Xenopus tropicalis: one gene and its partners. The protein of the gene in region 1 binds, or shares a complex with, the protein of each later gene. Links are inferred from orthologs where the notes say so. Each region holds a gene or a part of one and is shown in the gene's direction. Other genes may lie near its edges. The genes, in order: taf4, tada2b and taf7.

Region 1 (3,655 bases):
GATTGGGTGAGAGTGCTGCAAAGGAAATGTTTTGCAAATCTGATTATTTTGTCTCTTTTTTTTCCACCAGGAATGGTCCTCGTGCGGAGTGAGAGCGGGCAGCTCCTAATGATCCCCCAGCAAGCCCTGGCCCAGATGCAGGCTCAAGCCCAAGCCCAGGCCCAAGCACAAGCCCAAGCCCAAGCCCAGTCGCAATCTCAGAACACCATGGTTCCCCGTCCTGCCACTCCAACCAGTGCCCCTCCTGTACAGATTTCTGCAGTGCAGGTAAGTGCAGTCAGACCGGCTCCCTCAGTGTTAGAGAGATACCATAACTATGGCACATAGGGATTCCCCTGTACTAAGCACAATTTCAGCAGGAACAGCCCCCTAAGTTTGCTCATAGCCTGTACAGAGAGATACCATAACACTATAGCACATAGGGATTCCCCTGTACTAAGCACAATTCAGCAGGAACAGCCCCCTAAGTTTGCTCATAGCCTGTACAGAGAGATACCATAAACTATGGCACATAGGGATTCCCCTGTACTAAGCACAATTCAGCAGGAACAGCCCCCTAAGTTTGCTCATAGCCTGTACAGAGAGATACCATAAAACTATGGCACATAGGGATTCCCCTGTACTAAGCACAATTCAGCAGGAACAGCCCCCTAAGTTTGCTCATAGCCTGTACACAGAGATACCATAAAACTATGTGATACTTAATGCCAATGTATTGCTGCCCTTGCCTTCCTGCCTAACTCCTCTTCCTGACATTGCTTCCCAGTCTCCAGGAGCGCCGCTCTTAGCCAGACAGGTTACACCAACTATCATCAAGCAAGTCACTCAAGCGCCAACAACTGTACAGCCCACCACAACACTACAGCGCCCTCCTGTTGTACAGGTAATTACTGCCTTCATGGGTTCATCCATTCTGTGCCCAGCTCTGCTTTAAAGGGGTGGTTTACCTTTCAGTTAACTTAGTATGTCAATACCAAGCAACTTTTCAATTGGTCCTTATTTGCCTTTTTGTTCAGCAGCTCTCCAGTTTGGGATTTCAGCAGCTGTCTGGTTGCTAGGGTTTGGTTTACCTTATCAACCAGGCAGTGGTTTGAATGAGATGCGAGGAGAGGGGACTGAACAGAAAGATAAGGATTAAAAAGTAACAATAAAATTGTAGCCTCACAGAGCAAAGGGCTTTTTGCTGCCGGGGTCAGTGACCCCCCACTGTAGATGTAGAAGAGGAAGGCAAATAATTCAAAATCTATAATAATGAAGACCAATTGCAAAGCTGCTAGGAACAGGGCATTCTACAAGATACTAAAAGTTACCTTAAAGATAAAACCACCCCTATAATTAACTGTTAGTAGGTTATAGAACGGCTTATTCTAAGCAACTTTTCAATTGGTCTTCATTATTTCTTTTTTTATAGTTTTTGAATCATTTGCCGCCTTCTGACTCTCTTCTGCTTTCAAATGGGGGTCACTGACCCCATGTAAAAAAAACCAAAGGCTTTGTAAAACTACACATTTGTTGTTACTGTTGCTTTTTACTACTTGTCTTTCTGTTAAGCTCAACTATTGATATTCCAGTCTCTCACTGAAATCAGTGCCTGGTTGCTAGGGTAATTTGCACCCTAGCAACCAGATGACTGAAATTGCAAACTGGAAAGCTGCTGAATAAAAAGGTAAATCGTAAATAATAAAAAATGAAATACAATTGTCTCAATATCATTCTCTACATCATACTGAACAACCCCTTTAAGGTTCCCTATGGTTTATTATTATTATTTATTTCTCTCTTCTCCCCACAGAACCAGATAGTGCTCGGCAGCACTGCACAAACTGCCACTTTGGGGACCGCAACTGCCGTGCAGACTGGTGCGGCTCAGAGACCTGTGCAAGGAGCTGCTACCCCTGCCGCAGCCACCACGGTACTGCCATTGCTTCTAGCTTCTTGGGGCGCACATACGTGCAGTCTGTATGACCGGACACTCATTACATGTTTCTATATGTCACGCAGGAAACCATGGAAAATGTGAAGAAATGCAAGAATTTTTTATCCACGCTAATCAAGTTAGCTTCATCGGGTAAACAGTCCTCTGAGACTGCAGCTAATGTGAAAGAACTAGTGCACAACCTCCTGGTAAGGCTTTGCCCCTTTGTACCATGCTGCTTCATGCTATTCATGTAAGAGTAATGTCACAATGGGCAGGACCAACCATGCTGCTTCATGCTATTCGTGTAAGAGTAATGGCATAATGGGCGGGACCAACCATGCTGCTTCATGCTATTCGTGTAAGGGTAATGTCACAATGGGTGGGACCAACCATGCTGCTTCATGCTATTCTTGTAAGGGTAATGTCACAATGGGCGTTACCAACCATGCTGCTTCATGCTATTCCTGTAAAGCTATTCATTCTATATTATTATTATAAATAATAATAATAATATTCATGTAAGGGTAATATCACAATGGGCGGGACCAACCATGCTGCTTCATGCTATTCCTGTAAAGCTATTCATGCTATATTATTATTATAAATAATAATAATATTCATGTAAGGGTAATGTCACAATGGGCGTTACCAACCATGCTGCTTCATGCTATTCATGTTAGGGTAATGTCACAATGGGCGGGACCAACCATGCATCAAGCATGAATGCATTACATCTTATATATCTTGTCTAAAAAATACATTTTTCATTTGGCAGGATGGGAAAATTGAAGCAGAGGATTTCACGAGTAGATTGTACAGAGAACTGAATTCTTCACCTCAACCTTACCTTGTGCCTTTCCTGAAGGTAAGCCCCGCCCCCGCAGGGAGGGACTTTTGAAAGCCGCCGCCCTCTCCCTGTGACTTTAATGCTTAATCTGTGCCCTCCTTCCCATTCCAGCGGAGCCTCCCTGCCTTGCGCCAATTAACGCCAGATGCAGCAGCCTTCATCCAGCAGAGTCAGCAGCAGCAGCCCCCCACGCAGGCCACGACGGCCCTCACCGCGGTGATGCTGAGCGGCTCCGTGCAGCGCACTGCTGGCAAGACCACCGCCACCGTCACTAACACATTGCAGCAACCGGTCATCAGCCTCACACAGACGGCCCAGTCCAAGCCGGGGCAGCCCACCCCACTGGTATGTACATCCACTAGCCCCTTTGTAAAGCAGTGCTATTCAGATGTTTTAGGTTCAAGCTCCCCTTTAATGTGTGGCCCCCTTGACTCATACAGGGTCCGATCCGCTCGTTTGGCCAGGTTCCCAAACGAGTGCATCATCTCCCAATATGGCCACCAAAGGTGGGTGATCTTGGGCTAATTCGATCGTTAGCCCCCAGGGTGGGCATATCAGGAGATGAGTCCTTCAGACCGATTCGGCAGATTATCTGCCCGTTTATGGGGTCCCCCCCAATCAGACAGGTTTCATTTTCCTGACGGATCGGGGTCCGCATCGGATGTGGTCCAATTGGAAAATCAAACTTGCCTGATCGTCGTCATGTTGGGGGTGCCCGTAGTACCCCAATCTGCCTATGTATGGCTACCATAAGCTTAGCCTAGGCAACCAATAAGTGTTCACCCCTTATCTCGCCATTATTAACCTTCAAGGTTGGCTTCCGCTGCAAAAAGGCATTCTTAAAGGGGTAGTTCACCTTTACAATAACTTTTTAATATGTTGTAGACATT
Region 2 (3,689 bases), on another chromosome or scaffold:
TGCCCCAGAACTAAAGGGGCCATACACGGGCCGATTCTAGTTGCCCTTTAGATCGATTAGGCAGAATTATCTGCCCCTATTTGGGCAGGTTTGATTTTTCTGTCGTATTGGGGACCGCATTGGCTCGTTGATGCGGTCCCCGAACTGACGGCGCCTATACCCGCCGTTATAATTCAATCATTTGGCCCCAGGGCCAAACGACCAATCAGCCTGATATCTCCCGCCCGTAGGTGGAGATTTCTTACCGTGTATGGCCACCTTTACCCCGCTCAAGAGGGCAAACGCCAGGGACCCCACTTTGGAAGGAAGGGACACCTGGCCAGTATCCATGGTAACCAATCAAATTATTGTTATTGTTGCTACAGCTGGCTAGTTAATTGGTTGCTATGGGTGACAGCCCATGTGCAAATCTGCTAAGTGTTGATAAATTAGCCCCACTATATTGCAGTACAGCTATTTGCTATTCAGTGTTTATATTATAGATAGCCAAACACTTGCTGCTGCAGAACTGCACCTCTCTCACTCACTCACTTTTCTCTCACTCCAGTGTCTGCATCCCTTTCCTCCTGCACAGAGTCGGGCAGAGCAGGATCGCTGCTCCCTGTTGGCTCAAGCTCCATGTCTCCCTGTCACCTAACTGGTGTATTAGTTACTACTGGTTTCCAAGGCGACGGCGTTAAGAGGCGGTACTCATTCAACCACATTGGCGGCTTTCTGCCAATGGTGACTCACTCCCATTGGTTTATGAAAAGCTACGCAAAAGCCGGAGGCTCTCAGCCAATGGGCTTCGAGGCCAACCCTACTCAGCGCGGCGCATGCGCTTCGGGACAGGGGAAACGATGGGCGGGGCGTAGTTTGCAGAGTCCCCCAACAACAACTCAATATGGCGGACCTGAGCAAGAAGTACTGCGTCTACTGCTTAGCTGATGTGACCAGCCTGCGTCTGCGTTGTACCGAGTGTCAGGACATCGAGCTATGCACAGACTGCTTCTCAGCGGGGGCAGAGATCGGCAATCACCGCCGGTGGCACGGCTACCAGCTGGTAGACGGCGGCCGATTCACACTATGGGGGCCCGAAGCAGAGGGAGGCTGGACCAGCAGGGAAGAGCAGCTGCTGCTCGATGCAATCGAACAATTTGGATTCGGAAACTGGGTGAGCAGAATCAATGGGCAAGTAGGGGAGAGTAGATGCTGCTCGATGGCATCCAACCTGTTCGTTTGGGATATCATTTCCTGGGATTTGGATGGATGGATTTATCCTTGTTTAACTACCAATTTACCCACAATTATTTTTAGAATCCTGCTACATTGTTTCAAGAGGCAGAACCAGCAGTGCAGAAAAGGGCAGCTACTGATTAGAGTTCCCTTTACTGTTTAGGGGTTTACACTCCCTTTAAACTCAGTGAGTATAGAGTAAGAGAAGGGAACAGAGGGTAGAAATAAGGGCCTGTCCTTGGAAGTTATTGTTGGTAGCTGTGTTCATGTGATTTTCCTATTACGCATTTAGAGGGTTAGGGGGTTTTCTGCACTGGTACATTGAGCACTTGGGACTTAGGGCTGTGAGGCCCAACTACATCTTATCCAATCCGGTATGAATTGCTGGTGTAACAGTAGGCATAGATCAGTGTCAGACTGTTGCCTTCGCTACTATGAGAGCAAACTGGCGCCTCACAGAGTCTGTATGTCTGACAGCCTCCTTACCACCCCACAAATGGAACTGCCTGATATATCCTACCCCTAACTTAAGATGTCCACCTTTAGCGAAGGCCTAGCAGTGTAGGTACATAGAATTAACCATATTAGCAGCTAATAGTACCTATAAAAATGGCACTGACCTTACTGATTCTCACTCACCACTGCCAATCCCTGAATATGTGCTAAACCTGGGAATGAAATAAGCAAATACTTTGCCTATTAGTTACATAGGGTTGAAAAAAGACCATTGTCCATCAAGTTCAACCCATCCGAGTAAACCCAGCACACAACCTATACTAACCAATCTATACACTCACATACATAAACCATATATATACAACCAGTAATACTAACTGTAGATATTGGTTAACATGTGCTTACACAGTGAAAATAGCTTCTTGCAGCCCCAGGTGCACGCTGTACCCACTGCCCGGGCAGATAAATTCAAGAATGAAGAAAACAGCAGCACTCCGGTTGTTTTGAAAAATGTGAATCTTTACTAAGTGCCAAAGGCAACGTTTCGGGCTTCACTCCAGCCCTTTATCAAGGCTTGATAAAGGGCTGGAGTGAAGCCCGAAACGTTGCCTTTGGCACTTAGTAAAGATTCACATTTTTCAAAACAACCGGAGTGCTGCTGTTTTCTTCATTCTTGACTAACTGTAGATATTAGTATCACAATAGCCCTGGATATTCTGCTTGTTCAAAAACTCATCCAGGCCCCTCTTAAAGGCATTAACAGAGTCTGCCATTACCCCATCACTAGGAAGGGCATTCCACAGCCTTACTGCCCTCACCGTGAAAAACCACCTACGCTGCTTTAAATGGAAGCTCCGTTCCTCTAATCTAAAGTGGTGACCTCTGGTGCGTTGATTGTTTTTATGGGAAAAAAGAACATCCCCCAACTGCCTATAATCCCCTCTAATGTACTTGTACAGAGTAATCATGTCCCCTCGCAAGCGCCTCTTTTCCAGAGAAAACAACCCCAACCTCGACAGTCTGCATATAAAGGAATCATTTTGTTGGGAAAGATGTTTCATTTTGCCTAAGGCATTGGTAGGATGTTAGAAAAGGTTGACTTGCCCTTCATATCGACCATCTCCCACAGTAGAAGAATGGTAGTCCACCCCATGCTCCCCATCTGTGCAATACAATTACCATAGTGATTTAATTGATCATTTTAATTTATATTTGTTTGAATTTTTGCCTGTTTTTTGTTGATGTTACCCTTTTCTTCTCAGGAGGATATGGCTGCACACGTGGGAGCTTCCAGAACACCAACAGAAGTAATGGAACACTACGTCACCATGTATATTCATGGCAACCTTGGGAAAGCGTGCATTCCAGACAGTATCCCCAACAGAGTAACTGACCACACATGCCCCACGGGAGGTCCGCTGTCCCCGAGCCTAACTACCCCGCTGCCTCCTTTAGACTTGACAGTTGCAGATCAGCAGCAGCTGGGATACATGCCACTCCGAGATGACTATGAAATCGAATACGACCAGGACGCAGAGACTCTAATTAGTGGGTTGTCTGTGAATTACGACGACGATGACGTTGAAGTAGAACTAAAAGAAGCCTATGTGGATATGTATGTGAGGAAACTTAAAGAAAGGCAGCGGAGGAAAAACATAGCTAGGGATTACAATCTTGTACCTGCCTTTTTGGGTAAAGATAAAAAGGACAAAGACAAACCAGCCAAACGGAAAATTTCCAAAGAGGAGAAGGAGCTCCGGTTAAAACTGAGGCCGCTGTATCAGTTTATGTCAAACAAGGAAATCGAGGACTTTTTCGAGAACATGCACAAAGAGCGAATGCTTAGGGCTAAAATCCGGGAACTGCAGAGGTATCGCCGAAATGGCATTACCAAGATGGAGGAATCTGCAGAATATGAGGCTGCCAGACATAAACGGGAGAAAAGGAAAGAAAATAAGAACACTGCGAGCTCCAAGAGAGGGAGAGAAGACGGTAAGGAGAGTGAATTTGCTGCCATT
Region 3 (3,599 bases), on another chromosome or scaffold:
CTGCTGCTAGATTTTCTTCTAACTAAACCCAGCCCTTTTATGGTCCTCTTCACACTTTTTTATTTTGCTCCACATTCCTCTGCAAACATCCATTAAATATGAGCTTATATTCTTATGTTCTTAATTAGCTTTTTTAAATTATTCTTATTCCCTCCATCTTAAGCTCTAACTTGTCTTTCCCAACATGTCTCTCTCTTTCCAGCAGTGGAGAGGGAAGAATTGCGTCAGATCTTTAATGACATCAGTAGTAGCAGTGATGGAGAAGAAGAGGAGGGAGAACGCCAGGAAGAAGAAGATCTTAATATCATGGAGACTGAGGAGGAGCAGAGGGCAGGACAGGATGGTCAAAAGGGAGGCACTAACCAGATTGGTGAGAGTATAGCGGAGCACAAGTTTTTTTTTTTTTTGTTTTTTTTATAGTGAAAGTAATATTTTAGCCAGAGAAGAATGCAGAACTTATGGGGAAGTTGATCTTAATGATATCCCATTTCCCTATGTATCAGTTCTGGAGATGCAGAAACAGCTGGAAAATTTACAAAAGAAACTGCGAGAGACACAGGAAAGAAGAAAAAGACAAGAAGAGCTTATAATGAAGGTTGAAAATGTAGCACTGAAGGTAACACATGATTGCAGCACTGTTGCCTTGTGTGAGAGAGAAAATGTATATAAGTGGATTCAGTAAATGCTTAACTATGGTCATTTTATGTTTAGCAATATGTGTGTGTGACATTTATGTAGGCATGCAAGATAGGGTAGGATGGACAGGATAGGGCTCCTGTTTATGTAAGAAGTGTCTAAGAGCAATTTTTTCCAGGCATATGAGAACCTGGGCATTCACTCCTTGCAAGAGAAATGGTTGAGCACAATGTTCAAATACACATGAAGTAGAAGGGCCGGGCACACTCCTTGTGCAAGACTACTAATGCATACCAGAAACTGGAAGTTACAGGCAAACAAAGATTGTAGGGTATACAGTATGGATGTAAACAATGGCCATGGGGGTCTAGGGGTCTGGGCACACTCCCTCTGTGTGAAAGATGGTGAATGTAGTTACTCTTTCTGTTTTTGGTTGATTATTATAGATGGGTTGATACAAGTTTGATGATTGTATCTGGCCATGCAGCTATTTCACACAAACTTTCTTTCTTTATTTTAGACTCGCTTACAAGCTGTGTTGGATGAGTTTAGGCAGCAGGAGGAAAGAGAAAAGCAACAGGTATGTATTATGGCTTTATAGTCTGTGACCCATTGCTTAGATTTATCTTATTTAAGGGACAAAATGAATGCTGTGACATAGTTCCAAGTTTTTTCCATTGTTTTGTGTTTTGCAGTATGGCTGTATATTGGCGACATTGTTATTTGCTAACTGTGTGCAGGGAGACTGAGAATTATTGCTTATCAAGTGCAGTAATTCTCAGTGTGTATCCCCAAAAGCAGACAAAAATGCATACAGTCACGCTACTGACAGAAAATAGAAGATGACAGACTGTGCATCTTGAGACTGTTTGAGGCTGTTTGTTTTTTCCTAGTTGACTTAGGGCCCCCAGTGAATTTGTATGGGCCAGCATCTCTACACAGTTGTCCAGTATCCAGCTGATGTCAGAAGAATCAAAAGCTGGCCCATGCTTTTAAAACTTTACTGGAGTAGATAGAAGAAAAGGATAGTGTAGAACAGTCTCTCCTTTCACACAAGCATTATTATTCTGTCATTGCCTTGCTAAATCCCATAGTTTGATATAGCTATTCTTTTGTGCATGCCCGTTTTTCTGTAGCCAGAGGCATTATAAATGTACCATTTATATGGTTTATTTTTGTAAATATATTATAATGTTAATATGGTAATGGGAGGTGATAAAGTGTACCAAATGTAGCAGTACCTATTTTACACCAGTCCTTGTGATAATCTCTTCTCTTTCCTAGCTGACATCCCTGCAGGAGCAGCTCGAGACTCTAATAGAGAAATAAAGAGGTTCCGATGTGGTTTCCTTGATATTTATGACTTGGCCTCCCTGCTGTAGATGTACTGCTTTTTACCACATCCTCCAGAATGTTCACTTTCAGAGGAAATCCTTCCATTTAGGAAACAATGAGGACTGGGTCTCCCTTAATTTTGTTTGTGCTGAAAATTATACATCCAAACAGATATTTTACTTTAGGCCATTCGAACGTGACTGCTTGAGGATGTTTAGATCCTGTAATGGTTTGTGCTGTGACTAAATGCCTGCTGTACAATACAGAAAGTCCAAATAAGCAAAAGAACCTTACATGTATGATTTTTTTTCGTTTTTACTGGAATGTTCAAGGTGCAAGGATTATAACCCCAGTATTCATAATTTAACCTATTTGCCTGCTGTTTGTTTCCAGTCCAACAGTGCGTTACACTATGGGGCACATTTACTAATCCACGAACGTCCGAATGCGTTTCGTCGCCGTCGCGACTTTTTCGCGAATTGTCGCGACTTTTTCGTCACCGTCGTGAAAAAATCGGATTGGTTTTTCCGCTGTTTACAATTGCTCAATAAGAAAAATTGCAACGGCGACGAAAAAGTAGCACAAAATACGATAAAGTCGTGACGGCGACGAAAAAATCGTGCAAAATACGAAAAAAACGCGACGGCGACGAAAAAGGTGCAAAATTTTCATTTACAATCCGATTTTTTCCCATTCAGGATTCGGATTCGTGGATTAGTAAATGCGCCCCTATGAGTATACAAGTATACAAGTATCCGTTTTGCTGGGATTTTTCTGGAGAAAACATTAGAATTTTGCCTTTGTTATCTAACAGCTGTTTTCTTTAATATGGAAGATTTTGATGCCTACAAACAACTATGGTCAGATTGTGAACCCAAATGTTTGAGTTAGAGCCCATTGTGAACTAAGCACATTTACGAATGGCTTGTTCGTAACATTAGTGTTAAGGCAGTGTCACTTTGCTTTTTTTTTTTAAAAAAAAAAAAAAAGAATATTGGCAGCTACAGATGAACTGTAAATGATTATTTTACACTTTGTCATGTCTGTTTTTCTCCACCTATTATTCCATCCAAATAAAAGTCTTTGTTACCCATAATTTTGTGATTAGCTTCTTTGTGGTGAAACCCATTTTTACATCAGGCAGCTTGCTACTGGGAAGACGGACAATTTTCAAGGATACAATGTGCGAAGAAACATACTTGTAATACTTCCTAATTCCTTAAATAACGATTAATCACAACCCCCACACCTTCATTTTCATGATTATTTGTTCAAACCAAAAAATTCTAACTCCAGTGCCAATGGAATTCATGTACAATAATGTGACTGGATTAGCACTGTTTTCTTCCATTTTTTTTTATTATAGTTTCTTTAGGAACCTCCCCTATGTTCTTTAGGAACCTCCCCTATGTGAAGCAAGTGTCTTTTAGGGTACATAAAGAGCCCCTGTAAAGTTCAGCTATGCTCCTGATATCGTATATGAAGCTTTAACACCAGGTTTGAGCATTGTATGTGTGGTGAGCAACAAGAGCACAGTTTTGCTATCCAGATGTTTGCTTAGATAAGATCCTTCCATTAATGGCTATGCACTGAGTGCATGAAATAGAGCTAAATACTGCAGTTTTCTC

Evidence for each region.
Region 2: taf4 (region 1) and tada2b share a complex: the UniProt entries of both Homo sapiens proteins name them as parts of the TFTC-HAT complex. The link is inferred for Xenopus tropicalis from reciprocal best matches to the Homo sapiens genes TAF4 and TADA2B.
Region 3: taf4 (region 1) and taf7 share a complex: the UniProt entries of both Homo sapiens proteins name them as parts of the TFIID basal transcription factor complex. The link is inferred for Xenopus tropicalis from reciprocal best matches to the Homo sapiens genes TAF4 and TAF7.

The regions. Positions count from the first base shown.
Region 1 is NC_030686.2:4,375,505-4,379,159, reverse strand, and holds part of taf4 (transcription initiation factor TFIID subunit 4), read left to right. Parts: intron 1-70; coding exon 71-267; intron 268-766; coding exon 767-883; intron 884-1,792; coding exon 1,793-1,912; intron 1,913-2,001; coding exon 2,002-2,124; intron 2,125-2,693; coding exon 2,694-2,783; intron 2,784-2,876; coding exon 2,877-3,110; intron 3,111-3,655. UniProt on the Homo sapiens protein: The TFIID basal transcription factor complex plays a major role in the initiation of RNA polymerase II (Pol II)-dependent transcription.
Region 2 is NC_030677.2:24,535,458-24,539,146, forward strand, and holds the start of tada2b (transcriptional adapter 2-beta), read left to right. Parts: upstream 1-790; 5' UTR 791-883; coding exon 884-1,153; intron 1,154-2,933; coding exon 2,934-3,689. Other genes in the region: ccdc96 (coiled-coil domain-containing protein 96), read right to left, coding at 532-620. UniProt on the Homo sapiens protein: Coactivates PAX5-dependent transcription together with either SMARCA4 or GCN5L2.
Region 3 is NC_030684.2:37,699,966-37,703,564, forward strand, and holds the end of taf7 (transcription initiation factor TFIID subunit 7-like), read left to right. Parts: intron 1-202; coding exon 203-370; intron 371-503; coding exon 504-616; intron 617-1,156; coding exon 1,157-1,216; intron 1,217-1,920; coding exon 1,921-1,965; 3' UTR 1,966-2,413; exon of another isoform or gene 2,414-2,611; 3' UTR 2,612-3,067; downstream 3,068-3,599. UniProt on the Homo sapiens protein: The TFIID basal transcription factor complex plays a major role in the initiation of RNA polymerase II (Pol II)-dependent transcription.